Linked DNA regions of Oryctolagus cuniculus. The protein of the gene in region 1 purifies or fractionates together with the protein of each later gene. This does not show direct contact. Links are inferred from orthologs where the notes say so. Each region holds a gene or a part of one and is shown in the gene's direction. Other genes may lie near its edges. The genes, in order: PPM1K, BCKDHB, BCKDHA and DBT.

What was found.
Region 2: the proteins of PPM1K (region 1) and BCKDHB purify together in Homo sapiens (affinity purification with mass spectrometry; 3 studies listed by BioGRID and IntAct, counting the BioPlex papers as one, with this or other methods). This does not show direct contact. The link is inferred for Oryctolagus cuniculus from reciprocal best matches to the Homo sapiens genes PPM1K and BCKDHB.
Region 3: the proteins of PPM1K (region 1) and BCKDHA purify together in Homo sapiens (affinity purification with mass spectrometry; 4 studies listed by BioGRID and IntAct, counting the BioPlex papers as one, with this or other methods). This does not show direct contact. The link is inferred for Oryctolagus cuniculus from reciprocal best matches to the Homo sapiens genes PPM1K and BCKDHA.
Region 4: the proteins of PPM1K (region 1) and DBT purify together in Homo sapiens (affinity purification with mass spectrometry; 4 studies listed by BioGRID and IntAct, counting the BioPlex papers as one, with this or other methods). This does not show direct contact. The link is inferred for Oryctolagus cuniculus from reciprocal best matches to the Homo sapiens genes PPM1K and DBT.

What each region holds. Positions count from the first base shown.
Region 1 is NC_091439.1:77,356,440-77,361,639, forward strand, and holds part of PPM1K (protein phosphatase Mn(2+)-dependent 1K), read left to right. Parts: intron 1-1,366; 5' UTR 1,367-1,443; coding exon 1,444-1,883; intron 1,884-3,103; coding exon 3,104-3,204; intron 3,205-5,200. UniProt on the Homo sapiens protein: Serine/threonine-protein phosphatase component of macronutrients metabolism.
Region 2 is NC_091436.1:92,094,434-92,098,429, reverse strand, and holds the end of BCKDHB (2-oxoisovalerate dehydrogenase subunit beta, mitochondrial), read left to right. Parts: intron 1-920; coding exon 921-1,061; 3' UTR 1,062-1,069; intron 1,070-2,363; 3' UTR 2,364-2,658; downstream 2,659-3,996. UniProt on the Homo sapiens protein: Together with BCKDHA forms the heterotetrameric E1 subunit of the mitochondrial branched-chain alpha-ketoacid dehydrogenase (BCKD) complex.
Region 3 is NC_091449.1:13,104,144-13,109,875, reverse strand, and holds the start of BCKDHA (2-oxoisovalerate dehydrogenase subunit alpha, mitochondrial), read left to right. Parts: upstream 1-2,158; 5' UTR 2,159-2,211; coding exon 2,212-2,310; intron 2,311-2,505; exon of another isoform or gene 2,506-2,528; intron 2,529-5,732. Other genes in the region: EXOSC5 (exosome complex component RRP46), read right to left, coding at 1,563-1,794. UniProt on the Homo sapiens protein: Together with BCKDHB forms the heterotetrameric E1 subunit of the mitochondrial branched-chain alpha-ketoacid dehydrogenase (BCKD) complex.
Region 4 is NC_091438.1:70,078,115-70,083,314, forward strand, and holds part of DBT (lipoamide acyltransferase component of branched-chain alpha-keto acid dehydrogenase complex, mitochondrial), read left to right. Parts: intron 1-1,451; coding exon 1,452-1,575; intron 1,576-5,200. UniProt on the Homo sapiens protein: The branched-chain alpha-keto dehydrogenase complex catalyzes the overall conversion of alpha-keto acids to acyl-CoA and CO(2).

The sequences.
Region 1 (5,200 bases):
TTGGAACCTCTTCCTTTCTCTTGAAAGCAGTAAGGCCTTTCTATGGGAACCTAGCCTGGTTTCCAAAGTTCACTTACAAGCAATTGTTTGAAATCTTTAATGCATTTTCTCACAAATGCCCTCAAACTGAGTTTTATATGTGTGTGTTTATACTTCTTTGATACCCTCTTTTTACCAAGTTCTCTTTTTTATTGTGAAATAATCCAAACCTACAATTGGGAATAATATAGCACCTGTATTCCCTCCACCAGCATTATCAAATCTTAATATTATACCATTATGGCAAGTTGATTCCTAACTCATAAATAATGGAACAAAGTACTATTGAGATTAATTTCTGCTTAGAACCTTGTTTGTATGGAAATTGCCAGAAAGACAGCTCTTCCTGCAAGAGTGTGGGACTTTTCCCTGATACATTCTGTAATGCCAAGAGAGTCCTTAGGGTTGAGCTTGAGAGAAGAGTCTACAAGTAGGGGTGCCAGGTAATAATTTTAAAGACACACAGTTTCAGGTGTGGGTGTGCTGCTAGAATTGGGGGAAAGGAAAGCTGCAGGTGCAGAGAAAATGCATGGTTCATCTGCTTAAACCTCAGTTGTTTGTCACAAATGCAGTGACACCGTTTCCTGAGACCTCTGCACCCAGCCCTCTCCATGAGAGTGTCTCCCACAAAGGCAGCATAGGAACTGGCCTATGGGTGTGTTTGCATGAACCGGTTTACATTAACCATGCAGATGGAAAATGAAGTATGTTGAGAAATCGTCAAACAAAACTCAGATCCTAAATTGTGTCTTTACGAAAACTTGGCTATTCTGTGTACAAGCTATTGTAAATATTCTGTGAACCAGTTACTTTTCCTTTTATTTTTAGCACTTTGGTGCTATCGTTAATATTTGCCCCTACCTTTTTTCAGAGCAGTGGAATTAATGAGAGGAGGAATATTTATTTCTACCCGTGTTGTATATTCTTGCTAGGCAAAGTGTGGCCTGAAGATCAGCAGCTCCTATTACCAGCATCCCAAGATCCACTTCATATCCAGTGAATCAGAATTTGCATTTTAAAAAGCACCTCCAATGATGGCATTTTAAAAAGCACCTGCAGCTTTCCTTTCCTCCAATGATGGCAGGTTAAGCTGGAGAGACAGGTTCAATCAAAAGTGCTCCTTGTCAGATTTTTGTTTTTACTGTGAATGGATAAGGCAAATGGAGCCATTTTTCATCCATTGTTATGAAAATCGGGCTTTTGGGTGCCTACAAAGTGCATAACATAAGTATAGTAAGTATTTCCTGTCAGGCCCAGATGGCCCTTGTTTTTGGTGCTGATATTCAGTTTGGCTCACAATTGCTGACCAAGCCCTCCTTCTCCCCAGGTACATCATTCTCTTGAAGACGGTCCACTATTGTCTGCCAACCTCCGCCTCTGTACTGAGTCCCCTGCAGCTGAGTGATGTCAACAGCTGCCTTAATCACTTTGGTTAGAAGTGGCGGGAACCAGGTGAGAAGGAGAGCGCTGCTGACCTCCCGCCTGCTGCAGGACGAGCGCCGCCTGCCGGCCACCTGCCACAGCTCCACCTCAGAGCCCAGGTGTTCTCGATTCGACCCGGACGGCAGTGGGCGTCCGGCCACCTGGGACAGTTTCGGGATCTGGGACAACCGCATTGACGAGCCAATTCTACTGCCCCCCAGCATTAAGTATGGCAAGCCGATCCCCAAAATCAGCCTGGAAAACGTGGGCTGCGCCTCGCACATTGGCAAACGGAAAGAGAATGAAGATCGATTCGACTTCGCCCAGCTGACAGATGAGGTCCTGTACTTCGCTGTGTATGACGGGCACGGCGGACCCGCAGCCGCTAATTTCTGCCACACCCGCATGGAGAAATGTATTCTGTACGTACCATGACTCTCATGAGACTCATTACTCATTACTGATGATCATTGCTGCCTCAGAACGTGTGTCTTGGGTGGGTGGTGCGGCCAGTGGTTTATGACCCACTGTGGCTGGCTGCTCTGCTGCTGACCCAGCTTCCTGCTAATGTACCTGGGAAGGCAGTGGATGATAACTCAAAATCTTGGGCTCCTGCCACACACATGGGAGACCCAGATGGAATTCTGGGTTCCTGGCTTTGGCCTGGCACAACCCTGCCTGTTACAGACATTTGGGGAGAAGGGAGCGAACCAGCAGAAGCTCTCTGTTTCTGTCAGCCTTTTAAGTAGATGAAAATAAACACACACACTCAAAAATCTTTAAAATACATGTCTTAATTCCCTGATGAAAGTAGATTCTGATGACCAGAATTTACAATATTTGACCCGTGATCATTTTGAGTGAATGGACGTAAAGTCCAGGAGTCTCCACAATGTTCATGGAAAATGTGTATTATGAAAAAAACTGTGCATGCATTTCAAAAATTTTTTGTACTGAAATAAACTTATCTTTTACTTCCATTTATGCATGAACGTGTTGAAATGCCTTATACACCAGCTAACCTGTGAGAAGCATTTACTCCTATCAATGCAGAGCCCATAGACTAGCTCTGAATACTGGACTTGCTGAAAAGTAACTTTGGATGGTTGGCATTAGTCGGGGGTGAGAGTGCATTTAATGCTGGTGTTTGGAGGACTTTCACTAGTTTATGTACCTCTAGCTAGTATTGTTGAGGTTCACACTCTTGCTAGAATTAAAACAAGGGGAAAACATGTGACGGAATTTTGACTATGTGTAATTCCTTGCCTTCCTGTGTACTGCAAGGTTGATGCATACTACTGTTTATCAGTTGATTTGTGCCTATTTTACCTCATTCCACAAAGAACTCTGAGGTTTAAGTTTCATATGAAGGAGTTCAGTGTCTCCAGCATTGTGGTCTTTATAAAGATTCATTCTTTAAGGATAGAGATCTGGACTTTAATTTTTGTGCTCTTAAAAGCTCATCACAGTGCCTGTGATTTGGTACCATAAAAGCTCAATAAACATCCCTAACTAGTAGCTCTTATGCATCTGAAAGGCAACTCTTGGGGTCCATTGAGTTGAGGGACTTTGCTAGACAGAGGGACTGTGACAAGAGAAACCTATGGTAAATGACTGGGGTTCTCTTTTCCTCCCCACAAAGGGATTTGCTTCCTAAGGAGAAGAACTTGGAAACTGTGTTGACCTTGGCTTTTCTAGAAATAGATAAAGCCTTTTCGAGTCATGCCCACCTGTCTGCTGATGGTATGTAAAACAATCACATTTTTCAGAGTCTTGGAGTCAAGGAGGGTACAAAAGAATTCATTGAAGTCCTTTAGGGGTGGGCATTTTAATGTATGCTTACTTGTGAGGAAGTTTATGTAGAAATGTTCTTACATAGTCACTGGGAATGCTGTTTGGAATCCAAACTAATGTCAGTTTTCATGTTTGGTTACTTACTGTATGCAAAAGAACTCATACTACCAGAGGATTTGGGGCTGTTTTGTTTTGTTTTTGAGGCATCTGCTGAAATACTCTGCAGGGAAAACACATTTATCTAGGACACTAAATGTCCAGACAAGAAGAAAAGTGCTAAAAGATCCCATGTAAGAAGGAACAATGGCTAATATGCACTAGTTTGTATAATTACAAGGAAGCTATTTTGCCCTCTCTTTTTTTGAAATTTATTTTATTTATTTGAAAGAGTTACAGAGAGAGGGTCTTCCATGCGCTGATTCACTCCTCAAATGGCTGCAATGGCCCTAGCGGAGATGATCAGGAGCCAGGAGCTTAAAAAAAAATGCACTACAGAAATGTCATATTCACAGTTTTCAGTTGGACTGCACAGGAATAGAAATTTTCCCCAGTTCACAGACAAGAAATTGAAGTTCAAAGAGAGTCAAAGATCAGTTCAGAGCTAGAGCTAGGGCTGGGATTTTCCTGACACCCAAAGTGATCTCTCACATTGATGTTTGATAACGAGGAGGAATTGTGATTGTAGGATGGCTCTATTTGCCATTTTTTAAAGTAATTTTTAAAAAGTCTATCTTTTAAATCTGTTTTTCCATGAATTTTTTTTTTTAGAAGCAGAAATAGAGCATGCTAAAAAGTGAACTTTCATCCACTAGGCCACTCTCCAAATGCCCACAACAGCTGGGAACCCACTTTAGGTTTCCCATATGGATGATAAGAGCAACAATTACTTGAGCCATGCTGTTGCCTCCCAGGGTCTGCAGTAGCAGGAAGCTGCAGTCAGGAGCAGAGCTGGGAATCAAACCCAAATACTCTGATCTGGGAAGGGCAAAACGTCTGCCTCTACTTACCATCTTGAGAGGTTTTCCTGCTCTCTCTCTTTCTCTCTTTTTTTTTTTTTTTTTTTTTTTAAGAGAACCTTATCTTATCATCACAGTCCTCAGCAAACATTACACTCCACCCTCCCGTTTTGTTCAGGGATTTATTTAGTTTGTAGGTGAGTTAGGCCCATTTTTCTTTTCTTCCATTCCTTTGGACTTTTTTCCCCTCTCATCTGGTCCCTCACCTTTAAGAAGATAGGAGTTGAAAAAGGGGGGATTTCACGCATAAGATTTAGCTTTTGTTTTTGAGTAAAACACAGGAAGGAGAAGAGGAAACAAAATGCCTTCTGATAGTTTCATTTTTGTAACTCTCTGAGTTCTGGTATGCTCTTATCTCATCTGTAACCAGTTTGTCTGTGAATGGGACTGTAGCTCACACCTGTGAGCTGTAGTGCAGGTGCTGAGCCCCAGCTGTTCTGCAAGCAGCTGCAGCTTAGTGCAAAGGTTTTCAGAAGAGAATGTTCAAGAATGTCAGGATGTGGCCAACAATCTAAGACATTAACCCTTCATGGGTGCAGCCAGGAGATAATTAAAACAATCACTGGTCGATTTGGTGTAGGGTATGAGAGGGAGTTTTGAACTAGAGAATTTATTTAACTTGCATATCTTAAACTTTCTAAATTTGGCTTTGTCACATAAAGCAGTTTACACACAAGTTACAGTTCTTTACACACAAGCAGTTGTGTAAAGAAATCAATCATAAAATAATTTTTAAACATGAAATTAAAACATTATTTATTCCCTCTGTCATATGCTTTGAGGTAATAATCCCAGAACTTTTATAAGATATTTTAATTTTCATTTAATGACCATTTGTGTGAAAGTATAGTGGAGCAGGATAGAATGATGTCTAGTATGCTACTAAAAATCTCGTAACAGTGTCATTAGATACTATTTTATATTTGTTG
Region 2 (3,996 bases), on another chromosome or scaffold:
ACTCCAGTAGAAAGAAGTGGTCATCAAAGAGGGAGGTACTTTTCTCTGAAGGGAGGAGAGAACTTCCGCTTTGCTTATGGCCTTGTCTAAATACTGATGGAGTTTGTGAATTCAAAAGGCTTCCATAGCCTAGGCAGCTCATGTCAAGAGCCTTGGGTGATCACTGACATCATAGATAAGTGTTAATTGTTAAATTAACAACAGGAGCCACTGTGTACTAACTTCCCATGCAGGACCTCTGTCCTCAAAGAGTTGTATTATAATTATGTCTAAGTGCTTGCATAAGATGTATCATTCTTGGGTGCTTCTTAAAGTTAATTACGTTTCTAAGAAAAAAAAGAAGTGAAATTAACTTCAAAATGCAATGACTCTGAACAGCCCTTGTCTTGACTATTGAGGAAAAGGGTTTTGTTTTGTTTTGCTTTTTGCAAATTGTTGAAGTCTTTACTTAGTGTATAGTTGGTCTTCTGTGTATACAGTTAATCAAAAGTGGATCTTAGTGGAGAATGGGACTGGGAATGGGAGAGGGAGGTGTGGAGGAGTGGGAGTGTGTGGGAGGGTAGGTATGGTGGGAAGAATCACTATATTCCTAATATTGTACTTATGAATGCATGAAGTTTATATTCCTTAAATAAAAGGTTTCTTTGGGAAAAACAAGGAAATATTCTTTAAAAAATTTTAATTGTATGAGATGAACAAATTTCAAATATATAGATTTAAGAGCATCATGATACGTCCCACCTGACCCTCTCTCCCACCCATGCTTCTACCCTCCCTCCTCTTCCTTTCTTTTTACTTGTAATTTTTACAATAACATACTTTAGTTTATTTTACAATCACAAGCTTAACCCTCTACTAAATAAAGAATTCAGCCAGGAGAAAGTAGAATTGAAATTGACCATCTTGATTCTTTTCTGCAGGAAGAATGTTTCTTGAATCTAGAGGCTCCTATATCTAGAGTATGTGGGTATGACACACCATTTCCTCACATTTTTGAGCCATTCTATATCCCAGACAAATGGAAGTGCTATGATGCCCTTCGAAAAATGATCAACTATTGACCAAATAGGTAAGTAAGTATGCTCTGCATTTTGTGCAAACTAATGTGTGTCATTGACATTAATGTGCTGTACACCAAGGACTAGCAATCACCAGTGTGCTGTCAGAGGCTTCTTCATAAAGCTCACAGAAAATGCCTATTTAATGACACAACTGTGCATGGGTTTCAAAGGTTTTTTTTTTTATACCAAAATAAACTTACCTTTAATTCCATTTTCCATGAACTTTTGAAGTACCTTTGACTTTTGGTAATCTGCAACTTTCATAACAAACTGTGTACTTCAGAAAATAATTCAAATTTATACTAGTGTGTTTACACTTGCTAGAAACCTAGCACAAATCTGCTTTATGTGATTTCTAGAAAACAGAAACATATGTATGCTAGTCATTAGATAAAGATGCTCTCTGCCAGGGTTTAGATTGCAGACATACCTTACAGCACAGCTCCTCCTTTTGCCTTCATTTATGGATATTTTTTCAACTATTTAAAGTGCTCATGAATAAAAGTAATTTATATTATTTAAAAATGGTCCCTTAAACATCACTAATTAGGGCTCATATCAAAAATGAATTGATAGATACTTTATATTTTAACATCTATATTTTCCAAAAATAATAATTATATTGGAGAAGCAAGATTTTTCAAAGACAAAAGAATAATGATCTCCATATAATGGTGCATACTAAGTGTTTTAAAGATAAGAAATGCTGTAATTCTTGGATTCCGCGTATGGATTCCAAAGCTAGTACCTGAAACCAGAGAGAGACGCTTTACAAATGTACAGAAAGAGAAAATAGTACCCCTCTCCTCTCTGGCTTCTGTGCTGCCATACGCCTGCAGTGTTAGTGGTTCTATTCTGACGCTGGTATGGGTATGAACCAGGGCTCATTAGTCCACATACCCCTGGTAAGCTCTCAGCCATGCAGATGTAGATGCTGATTTCTAATCTCTTCTCAATGTCTGTGAAAGCTGCTGGCTTCTACAATAAATTATACTCAGGCCAGCTTATGTGGACTTCTTGGCTTTCGTTGTCCACGCTGTTGTTCCATGGACCATCTGCAATGGAGAGTCGAGGTAATAATTGCAGCCATGTGCCTCGTTGCTATTTTTAAAGTCAGATTTAGATACTGGTATTACATTTGTATGGTGTATTTTTTCTTAACCATTAGAAAAACATTGAAACCTCTACTGAAAATATAATAAAAACAGTAACTTTTGTATGCAGAAGTTGAAGAGGATATTAAAGAAACTAGTTATCCATGCAGTTCAGAATGCATGTAATTGTTACCAATTTCTTTTACAGGGAAACTGGAAGATTGTGACTAGATATGGAAATATTTTTCTGAAATTTTTTATATTTCCTCAGATTTATCCATTCTTGAAAAAAGAGATTTTATGAAATGAATCATTGTGGATATTGGCCAAGAAGTTATAAATTAATTATTGTATAACACATGAATCGATGATTTCCATTAAGTGTGTTTCAGATTAACATTTTAAAATGTTTCAAATGATGGTCTTTTAAATTCGGTGTAGTGCCACCTATAATTACTGAATGTGAGATGGTATTCAATAAAACAAAAATCAGGTTGTCCTCAGTTTGTGTGTGTGTCATTTGTCCACTAGTAAAACAATTTTTATTACAGAACAATAGATTGCTAATTTGTTAGATTTGTGTTAAAGTGAAACATTTACTTTACAAATGCTGATTTTTCTTATTAACAAATAATTTGTTTATTAAACATTTTGTTAAAATACAGTATACATACCAAGAAATGGATATAAGTGTAAAGATCAATGAGTTTTTGTCATCCAGTCACACTCATAACCAACCCCCAAATTAAAAACAAAGTAGGGGCCGGCGCTGTGGCGCAGCGAGTTAACGCCCTGGCCTGAAGTTCATCCCATATGGCTGCCGGTTCGAGACCCGGTTGCTCCACTTCCAATCCAGCTCTCTGCTATGGCCTGGGAAAGCAGTAGGAGATGGCCCAAGTCCTTGGGCCCTTGCACCTGCGTGGGAGACCCGGAAGCAGTTCCTGGCTCCTGGCTTTGGATCAGCAAAGCTCCAGCTGTTGTGGCCCGTTGGGGAGTGAACCATCAAATGGAAGACCTCTCTCTCTCTCTCTCTCTCTCTCTCTCTCTCTCTCTGCCTCTCCTTCTCTCTGTAACTCTGACTCTCAAATAAATAAATAAATCTTAAAAAAAAAAAAACCAAAGTATTACTAAGTACCCCAAGTTCTCACTCTACTTCTCTCTCCCTTTATTTTTTTTTGGAGTGTGTTAAATAAGAGCATATTGTCATTTAAATCCTATATCCTATGATTCAGTGAAGCAATATCTATAACTACATGGCAAGTGATTTTTTTTTATTTTTTTAACTTTTATTTAATGAATATAAATTTCCAAAGTACAGCTTATGGATTACAATGGCTCCCCCCCCCCATGACTTCCCTCCCACCCGCAACCCTCCCCTTTCCTGCTCCCTCTCCCTTTCCATTCACATCAAGATTAATTTTCAATTCTCTTTATATACAGAAGATCATTTAGCATACATTAAGTAAAGATTTCAACAATTTGCACCCACATAGAAACACAAAGTGAAAAATACTGTTTGAGTACTAGTTATAGCATTAAATCACAATGTACAGCACATTAAGGACAGAGATCCTACATGAGGAGTAAGTGCACAGTGACTCCTGTTGTTGACTTAACAAATTGACACTCTTGTTAATGGCCTCAGTAATCACCCTAGGCTCTTGTCATGAGTTTCCAAGGCTATGGAAGCCTTTTGAGTTCACCGACTCTGATCATATTTAGACAAGGTCGTAGTCAGAGTGGAAGTTCTCTCCTCCCTTCAGAGAAGGTACCTCCTTCTTTGATGATCCGTTCTTTCCACTGGGATCTCACTCGCGGAGATCTTTCATTTAGGTCAATTT
Region 3 (5,732 bases), on another chromosome or scaffold:
ACACACTTCTTGAGAGTCTGCAAAGCACTGACTGTTATTCCACAGGGTCCTATGGTTTTGCAGTTTTAAAATTATTTTTAAATTTTAATTAATTATTTTGAAGGCAGAGTGACAGAGAGATAGCGAGAGCTTCCATCTGCGGGTTCACTGTTCAAATGCCTGCATCAGACAGGACTGGTCGAGGCTCAAGCAAGGAGCCTGGAACTCCATCTGGGTCTCCCATGTGGTTGGCAGGGGCCGCACTTGGGCCACCACCCTGTTGCCCTTCCAGGTGCATTAGCAAGGAGCTGGATCAGAGGCAGAGCAGCCAGGGCTCAAACGGGCACTCATGAGACGCCAGCCAGGCCAGCAGCTTAACCGGCTGCATCACAGCTCCCACCCTGCTCTGGGGTTTCAGACCGTGGGAAAGGCTACCTTTCTCCTTATTTCTTGTGTTCTAAAACACCTCAGCAAGACAGCCAAGCTGGAGGAGGGCTGGGCAAGTCTCCAGGGAAGAGACAACCGGGGGGGGGGGGTTCTGCTCCTGGGAGACCCAGTTTGCCCTCACCCCGGGGTGCTCTTAGTTCGGGGAGAATCTGTCCACCCGGAGGAGGCACCTGAGCGGAACCAGGTCCTTGCTGGGGTCTTCACTCCTGCCTGTCCCACCGGTACACGGACCGGCCTCCCTCCACTCCCGGCTTCCAGGCCACGGCTCTGCCAAGTCTCTTCTCTCCACCCCGCATCCATCACCAACTGCTGCCCCACTCCCAGCCCTTCTCACAGAAGCAGTCCTTGAGAGCAGTCTCCACTCACGTCTCTTCTTCCTCCCCTCCCGGCCCCACCACTCCGCTGCCGCAGCCTGGAGCTTCACCAAGGACCCCCAGCGGCTCAACCCTCCCGAGATCAGCCCCCCTTTCAGACCGGAACAACTGGGCGGCCCTTTCATCTCACACCCTTCCTCTCGCCTCCGGGACACCTCCGTCTCCTGATTCGTCCCCTGCCGCACCTGCCGCTGGGCGAGCTCTTCACACTTCCGGGAGCTCTCAAAGTTGGGGGGGCCCGGGGGTTAGTGCTGGGACCTCTTCTCTTTTCTGTCTACGCTCATTTACTCGCATGGAAAGATGCGGATATTCGCTCACTTGGTGGGGTGGGAGTAGGGGAGTACCTGTCAAAGGTGAGGGCGTCATCTATACTATACTTGGGGGGTAATATGTGCCCCGCTCTAGGGAGGAATTAAACCCACGGCGATGACCCGCCTACTCTACGCGGCATTTATGCAAACAGGCTGAGAGGGGCGCGGATCTAGTAAACGGAGGTGATTTACCCGGATAAGACCTTCCGAATTCTGGAAGTCATTCTTGCGGGGGTAGAGAGCGCTCCCTCCCGGTCTGGAGGGGGACGTGTGTATGCGGTGGATCCGGTAGTATCCACCCGAGCAATACGTTCCGCGGCAGTGAAGGAGAGGCAGGGGCCAGCTCGCATAGCGGCGAGGTCGGCCTCAGTGTTCCATAGCCCGCTCTCCCACACAAACACCAAATGGGTGAACGTGACCGGGGCGGTACGCACCTGGGTTAAGTTCTTACCTTGCAGGAAAGAAGCAGAGCCATCCGGCCTGGACAGCAGGTTCTGTTCGCAAGCAAAGTGCCGGAGGCTGCAGCCAGGGCCCCGAGAGCGACACTCTGTCCCAGTGTCAGCGTGGGCATTGGCGCCAGCAGCCACCACCCCCTCCATAGTCCCAGAGCCCACGTGCAGGCCGGACCGTCGCTTCCGCCCAGCAGAGTGCGCTTGCGCGCAAGTTGCGTACCCAGTGCGCATGCGTGGGTCCGCTGGCTAACTGGGCGCGCGCACGTGGGTTAGGGTTTACAAACAAATATGACTCCGTCCGCTCCCCGCCTCCCCACTAAGGCAAAGCCATTGGACAATAGAGGAAAGGGGGCGGGCTTTGGCACGGGCTCGTCCTACCCAAGGCCCCCGGGCCTTAAACCTCGGGCGTCCTGATAAGGTTGCCCTCTTCTTTGCCTGTTTACATGATCAACTACAACGGGGCTATCTGAGTAATTTTGGAAAAAATAATTCACCTTCCTCACACATTTACGCGTACTGGCGTAAGTGGGACTGGAAGCAGGTGTTCTATGTCACAGTGGTGCTGGCAATTGAATCAGGCTCATGAAAGGGCAGCCCCCGGTCTAGGTTAAAGGAGGGGGCGGGTCGCCGAGTGGGTTGTAAGTCAAGATGGCGTTAGCGATTTCCGCGGCGAGGGTCTGGGGGCCTAGGCGCCAGGCTGTGCCCCTGTTGCTGCGGCAGCTTGGGGCGCGGGGGCTGACTAGATCCGTGAGTACTTGGGGCCCCTGGAAGTTTTCCCTAAGGAGTAATAGGGCCGTAAAGACCCTCTTCGGAGCGTCACCTGCAGGGTATGCAGCAAGGGCTGGCAATCAAGGAAGCGAAAAAGGATTGGGAGAGCGCGCGGAGGGGCCTCGCGAGGGAGGAGCTTCCACTGAGGAGGGGAAAGGCGAGGTCGCCCCTCTGCGGGCTCTGAGGGAGGCGTAAGGGTAGGTCTTCTCGCTCGGCGGGGCGCGGGGACGGCGAGACCGTGTCCCTCAGGGGCTGGAGAACGGACTGACGTGGCCAGGGGAGAGTTTCTTGTGGATGGACGTTCTCGTCCAAGCCGAGAAAGGAGGAATGCGGTCCAGTCGCGGGCTTGTATGGGGTCTTCATTTCTTTGCTCCTTCGCCTCAGTTCTCGGTTTAAGACGAGTCGTGGGAGGAAGCCATGGACTCCTGCGTGCCCTGAGGGGACGTCGGCAGGCAGGGACTTGACTGTGCTTGGGACGCTACCGAGGAGGGCAGCCATAAGTATTTGTTGAATTTACGAGGGAGGAGAGGACCGGCCGGGGCATCTGCCCACATTTCTCGAAAATCCTTGAGGAATTTTTATTTCTTGTCCAAAGGGTCCGAGGGCCTTCTGGTAGAAGCCGCTTGGGGTAAAGTCGCCCCGCGGACCCTCTGGTGGGGAGAGGGGCTGACGTGGACCAGGGAAGGGCCTGAGCTACAGCCCGGGGGGCTCACAGCCCTGCCGTGCCCCTCGGTGAACCCTTAGGGGGTGGTTGTGAAAACACGCGAGGTGTGAGAACCAGCCCTGCAACAGGAGTGTCGGGGCGCGACCTTGGCGAGGGGAGCGGAAAGGAGGTGGCTTGAACTGTGGGGTTGGGTCTGAGCCCCAGTGTGTGAGGCAGGGAGGGGAAACCGTAGGGGGAATCTCTGATAGAAAGGAGGGAAGAAGGGTGTGAATGCTTGGAAGAGAATCACCTGAAGCAGGTAGAGGCCGAGGAGGCGCAGGTGCAGGGGGCGGGGCAGCCTTCTGCCTTGGGGCTGTTCTCTTGTAGTGTTTTTTTTTTTTTTTTTTTTTTTAAAGCAGTCAGAGCCTCTACCGTTGACCTCATTCCCGAGAGCCCACTGGCTGGGCAAGTCGGGTGGGAGGTGGGCAGACTGGGGCAGGCCAGGGGAAGGTCGTTTGTGTCTGATTAAACCTGTTTCTGTTGGCTCAGTCTCCTTGTTGCCTGCCTGCCTTCATTTTTTTTTGGGGGGGGGACGGATACTCATACTTTTATTTATATATGTTTACTTAGTTAAGTTTCTAAAGATGTATTTATTTGAAAGTCCGGTAGAGAGAGAAAGATAAGATCTTCCTTCTGCTGGTTCACATCGCAGATGGCTGCAATGGTTGGGGCTGGGGCTGGGCCTGGCTGAAGCCAGGAACCAGGAGCTTCCTCCAGGTCTCCCCTGCGGGTGCAGGCCCAAGCACTTGGGCCACCCTCCACTGCTTTCCCAGGCGCAGTAGCAGGGAGCCGGATCTGAGGTGCTGCAGCTGGGAAAGTGAGATGCTGGTGTCACAGGTTGCGGCTTTACCTGCTATACCACAATGCTGGCCCTGTTTATGTATATCTTGATTTATATTTTCTTTTTTTTTTTTTTTAAAGGATCTATTTATTTATTAGGCAGAGGCAGAAAGAGAGAGGTCTTTCATCCGCTTGTTCACTCCCCAAATGGCCAAAACAGCTGGAGCTGCACCAATTCGAAGGCAGGAGCCAGGAACTTCCAGGTCTCCCAAGCACTTGGGCCATCCTCCACTGCTTTCCCAGGCCATAGCAGAGAGCTGGATGGGAAGTGGAGCAGCCGGGACTCAAAGTGGCGCCCATATGGGATGCCGGCGTTGCAGGCAGTGGCTTTACCTGCTACGCCACAGCGCTGGCCCCAATTTATATTTTCTTAGAGTCACTGTCTCCCACCTGTATTTTTGCCACCTAAGATTTTAAAAAGAGGCTCCACTTTTTTAGTGTAGAGAAGGGACATAGCATTTCTTTTTTACAAGATTTTATTTATTTATTTTGAATATATATTTATTTATTTGGAAGTCAGAGTTACACAGAGAGAAGGAGAGGCAGAGAGAGAGAGAGATCTTCCATCCGCTGTCTCATCCCCACTTGTCCTGAACGGCCGGAGTTGCGCCAATCCGAAGCCAGGAACCCGGAGCTTCCTCCAGGTCTCCCATGAGGTGCAGGGGCCCAAGGACTTGGACCATCCTCTACTGCTTTCCCAGGCCATAGCAGAGAGCTGGATCGGAAGTGGAGAAGCCGGGACTTGAACTGGTGCCCATATGGGATGCTGGCACTGTAGAGGGCGGTTTTACCTGCTACACCACAGCGTCAGCCCCAAGATTTTATTTGAGAGAGAGAGCTATAGACCAAGAGAGGGAGAGACAGAGAGGTCTTTCATCTGCTGGTTCACTCCCCAGATGACTGCAATGGCCGGAGCTGGGCCAGTCCAAAGCCAGGAGCTTTTTCCAAGTCCCCACCCCACCCTGGATGCAGGGGCCCAAGCAGTTGGGCATCTTCCACTGCTTTCCCAGGCCATTAACGGGGAGCTGGATTGGAAGAGGACAGCCAGGACAGGAACCGGGGCTTATATGTGACGCCAGTGCTGCAGGCAGAGGCTACTATGCCACAGCACCAGCCTGGAGCCATAGCTTTAGTTAAAGAAGATTCTAGGCCAGGGTTGTCCAGTAGAACTAACTAACTTCCTTATTTAAAAAAAAAAATATTTGTTTTATTGATTTGAAAGGCAGAGTTATATATAGAGGGAGAGACAGAGAGATATATTCCATCTGCTGGTTCACTCCCTACATGGCCACAGGGTCATGAACTGGGCTGATTCAAAGCCAGGAACCAGAAGCTTCTTCTGGGTCTCCCACGTGGGTGCAGAGGCCCAAATATTTAGGCCATCTTCTGCTGCTTTCCCAGGGATTAGCAGGGAGCTGCATCAGAAGCAGAGCAGCTGGGACTCGAACCCATGCCCACGTGGGATGCAAGCACTGTGTGTGGTGACTTAACCTGCTACCCCACTGCACCGGCCCTTCTTCTTTAAAGAGATTTATTTGAAAGGTAGAGTTAGAGAGATCTTCCATCTGCTGGATCTCTCCCCAAATGGCTGTAATGGGCAGGGCTGGGCCAGGCTGAAGCCAGGAGCCTGGAGCTCCATCTGGGTTTCCCACATGGTGGCAGGGCCCAAGCACTTGGGCCATTCTCCACTTGTTTCCCAGGCGCATTAGCAGGAAGCTGTATCAGAAGTGGAGTAGCTGGGTCCGGCACTGTGGCGCAGTGGGTTAAAGCCCAGCCCTGAAGTGTGGGCACCTGTTCGAGACCTGGCTGCTCCACTTCCTGTCCAGCTCTCTGCTAAGGCCTGGGAAGGCAGTAGAAG
Region 4 (5,200 bases), on another chromosome or scaffold:
GGGTGAACCAATGGAAAAAGGAAGACCTTTCTCTCTGTCTCTCTCTCTCTCTATCTACTCTGCCTGTCAAAAAAAAAAAAAATAAATAATTTATTTAAAAGCTACAAGCCTTTTTTTTAAAGTATAACAATTTAGAAATTCAGTGAGAAATCAGTTGTTTAAATGTATTGTTCCTATACATTAACCAAATTTTTTGTTTTATATTATTTACCATCATAAAAATTCATATTTATGAATATGTATTAAATGTAACTAGAATATATAATGTATATTATAATGTAGTATAACTTTAGAATTTAAGGACTAATTGCCACTAATGTACTGATAAACTTATTTGTGTGTTTGGGTAATTCTTGTTTTTGTTTTTTTTTTAAAGATTTATTTATTTATTTGAAAGAGTTACAGAAGAGAGAGGGAGAGACAGAGCAAAGTCTTCCGTCTGCTGGTTCACTCCTCAAGTGGCTGCAATGGCCAGTATTGAGCCAGGCCAAGCCAGGAGCTTCATCAGTCTCCCTTGTGGGTGGTGGGTGGCCATCTTCTGCTGTTTTCCCAAGCCGTTAGCAGGGAGCTGGATCAGAAGTGCAGCAGCCAGGACATGAACTGGCACCCATGTGGGATGCTGGCGTTGCAGGCAGCAGCTTTACCCTACGTCTCAACACCAGCCCCTGATACCCTTTTTGGTAAAGTAAAAGTGACTGTCTCCTGAATAAATGAAAGAATTTCAAATACATACCAGAAGGTTAGGAATTTCTATAGTTTTTGTTAAAAGTATGATTTAGCTAATCAGGTATTAATATTAGCAACAGTGAATTTTAACTTTCAAGATATGATACTGTAGTTTTTAAGTAGTTAGATTTTAATATAGACTTGAATACATTCAGGACCACTCATTTCTATAGCATTACATTATGCTAAAGTATCATATAAAATAGTTAAATCTAAAGAGTCTACTATAAAGTATGATACAAAAAATCTGAGTAGAAATTATACATGTTTTCTAGTATCTTCACTTGCTAACAGTTACTTCAGAGTTTTTTAGTTGTATTTCAGGAAGTCTAATTGCTTAAGATATGGGCTGGTGTGTTTGTTTATACAGAACATATTGTTAAAAACACTTTCATAAGGAATTTTGGTCAAGGATCACAAACATATGAACAAATTTGACTCTGAAGTTACAGTATTACAAACAAAAGAATAACAAAATGTTCTGTGTAGGCTAGGGTTTGAATTTCTTTGACTTCTTAGAAATATAGATACCATACTTCAGAAACTGTCATATACTTCATAAATTGTCATTGCTACGAAGTATTCTGGTTTTGGCTTAGGTAATTTCATATTTATATTGTGTTAGCAATTGTCTTACTAAATAATGGAATTGAAATTCAATACATACTTAAATAATCCATAAGTTCATTTATAAATACTTTTACATTTTGTTTTCTCACCTGTAGATTTGTGTTCGCTCTTTTCAAACACGTGGTATTGTTCATGTTTTGAAGCCAAAATGTGTGTATTTCTTCGGTTATCCTTCATTCAACTACAGTCATCCACATCACTTGCTGAAAACGACCGCTGGTAAGTATGATCTCAAGATAACATATATAAAGTAATGTGTTATATCTTATTCAGTACTTAGTAATCAAAGATTCATCAAAGTAAAAAATGCTGGCCCTGAACCCCACGTACTTCTGCCCTGACTCTCTCCATGTCTATCCATTACCCATTTTCTTTTTTCTTGCCTCCACTCCTACACTCCCAGCCCCTAACTTCTCCTTCCCCTGTCACCTTTCACATACTTTTCTTAATACTTGTGTCTTCATAATGTTAGAATTGGGTTGTGTTGGGCCATCTATTCTTTATCATCTGACTCATCTAAATGCAATAGTTAGCATTGATATGACCTTCTCAGTCAACATAAATCATAGACTTAATAGAAGTGTCTTTGTGTCATTGTACACACCATGGTATTGTTTGGTGAATGAAGCACTTAATCTGTGATTTTAACATGGTCTGATGAAACCAGTCTTAAACACTCCTGAACAGAAAGTTTCCTGCTATTATGCTTTACTTACCTTTTGCCCAACTTTTTCTACTCTCTATAAAGAACTTGAAGATTGATTTGGCAAGGGCATAAGAACATTTTTTTCTGATGTTCTGTTTAAAACCCTGATAAAGGACCCTAGACTTCTGTTATATGGCTAAGCTTTGGACAGATAATAGGGCCTTACTCTGTGCTCACAGGGAAAAATAGGGAATTCCGTGCAGATATCACCCTTGAGTTCAATTTCTCCATGCTTTTTTTTTTTTTTTAAGATTTATTTATTTTTTTGAAAGTCAGAGTTACACAGAGAGAGAAGAAGAGGCAGAGAGAAAGAGAGGTCTTCCATCTGCTGGTTCACCTCCAAATTGGCTGCAACAGCCAGAGCTGTGCCAATCTGAAGCCAGGAGCCAGGAGCTTCTTCCAGGTCTCCCACATGGGTTCAGAGGCCCAAGGACTTGGGCCATCTTGTACTGCTTTCCCAGGCCATAGCAGAGAGCTGGATCAGAAGTGGAGCAGCCAGGTCTTAAATCGGTGCCCATATGGGATGCCGGCACTGCAGGTGGTGGCTTTATCTGCTTTGCCACAGTGCCAGCCCCTCCATGCTTTTTTTTTTTTTTTTTTAAGATTTATTTACTTATTGAAAGGCAGAATTACAGAGAGAGAGAGAGACAGAGACAGAGACAGAGAGACAGGTCTTCCATCCGCTGGTTCACTCCCCAAATGGCTGCAATAACTGGAATTGGGCCATTCTGAAGCCAGGAGCCAGGTGCTTCTTCCTGGGTCTCCCACATGGGTGCAGGGGCCCAAGCACTTGGGCCATCTTCAACTGCTTTCCCAGGCCACAGCAGAGAACTGAATAACTGGATTAGAAGTGGAACAGCTGGGTCTCGAGCTGGTGCCCACATAGGCTGCCAACACTGCAGGTGGCAGCTTTACCTGCTATGCCGCAGAGCTGGCCCCTCCATGTTTTTTATCTGCCTTCCTTTACCTCAGCCTAAGGCATGTAAACCTTATTTTCACTTTTTTTAAAAAATATCTGTATTTTTTAAAAGTTAATTTTGTTGTTGTTGTTGTTGGGCTAGAAGCTATTCAAACAGAAACTCCAGCTTCCTTCTACAGCCTCTGATCATTTATCATGACCTTTGAGTTCCTGGATCCACTAATTCCAGGCTACTTGGGTTCCTGGTTTGCCAGTTTCTAGCTGTGTAACTGAGCAAGTTATTTAAGTTTTCTCAGTTTCATCATTTTCAAAATGGAAGCATTCATAATATTTAGCTCATTGTATAATAAGAATTTATTCATTCAACAACAGATACTTATTGATCGCCTGCTATGTGCCAAGGCAGTAGTTGAGGTAGCTGGGATATATCAATAATCAAAACAAAGATCCTTATACCTGGGTGGATTAAATAAATTAAAATATGTGAAGTATTTAGTACATACTTCCTCTAGACACTCATATTCTCTCTCTCTCTCTCTCGTTGTCCTGGCTCCAGTGCTCAACACTGATCACTGTTTTGATTTCTTTTTTTTAAAGATTCCTGTTTTTTTAAGATTGATTTATTTATTTGAAAGGCACAGTTACAGAGAGAGCAAAAATCTTCAATCTATTGGTTCACTCTCCAGATGGCTACAACAGCCAACTATAGTCCAGGCCACAGCCAGGAGCCTGGAACACCATTCAGGTCTCCCACATGGGTAGCAAGAGCCCAACCAAGCACTTAAGTGTTCTGCTGCTGCTTTCCTAGGTGCCTTAGCAAGGAGCTAGATTGGAAGTAGAGCAGCTGAAACTCAAATTGGCATTGCAGGCAACAGCTTGACCCATTGCATCAATGCCAGCCTTGATCATTCTTCATCTTGTGTGTTTTTCCCTCTTTTTTAAAAAAAGATTTATTTATTTGAAAGAGCAACAGAGAGGGAGGAGAGACAGAGAAGAGGGATCTTATATCGTCTGGTTCACTTCCCAAATGATCTCAACAGCCAATCTCGGCCAGGCTGAAACCAGGAGCCAAGAAATCCATCCTAGTCTCCCACATACTTGACAGGGGCCCAAGTACTTGGGCCATCTTTTGCCACCTTCCCAGGCAGGTTAGCAGTAAGCTGGATAAAAAAAAGAGTAGCTGGGGCTTGAACTAGCAGTCTGATGTGGGATGCCAGTGTTGCAAGTGGTGGCCCAACATGTTGCACAACCCAGGCCCCTGTTTCTCTCCTAAATTTCAGTCTTTTGTAGGATCCTATCCTTGGCCCTCCCATCTTCTTGTGTCACTTTTACAGATATACCTTCACCTACTACATATTGAACGTTCTGAATCTGTAGCTCTCAGACCTCACCAATTGTTGCTATGTATCTCCATTTCAATATCGCATGTATAACTCAAACTCCTCAAACTCAGTTTTATACAAATTTCCTCTTCTTCCTGTATTGCTTAAATCAATGAGTCAAGCTGGAAACCTGTAGTCAGCGTGACTCCTCTCTCACATCATATTGTTTACCAAAACCTGATCAATTTTACATTTCATACAAGGGATCTTCTAGAAGTTCACGGAAATTGTGCATTATCAAAAATCATGCATCAGTTTCAAAAATTGTGGCACCAAAACAGCCTTATCTGTTCAGTCCATTTTCCACAAACTTTATGAACTACCTTCTTATGTTTCTTAAATTTGTCTTATCCTTTTCAGTAAGCTTTGAAAAATATCTAAAAATAAGCTCCAAACCACATCTGAATGTACTTTATGTAAGGATATACTCCGTACTTTGGTTGCTTACCTTCAGTAGACCCTTGCTTCCCCTGCCTCATTTTGCTTCTGCCATTCCCTTCCCAACCTTATCCACCATGCACAGATTTTTTTTTTCCTGAAATGATAGGCTTAAAGTCACAGATCTGATATTGTAGATGGGACTCTGTGTTGTTGTTGTTGTTTTCCCATGATTGATTTACTTATTTGAAAGGCAGAATTAGAGGAAGAGTCAGGGAGAGGGAGAGATATCTTATATCTGCTGGTTTACTCTCCCAAATGATCACAACAGCCAGGGCTGGGTCAGGCCAAAACCAGGAGCCTGGAACTCCCTCCAGTTTCTTACATAGGTGGTAAAGGTCCAAGCACTTGGGCTATCTTGCACTGCTTTCCCAGGCTCATTAGCAGGTACTTGGATTG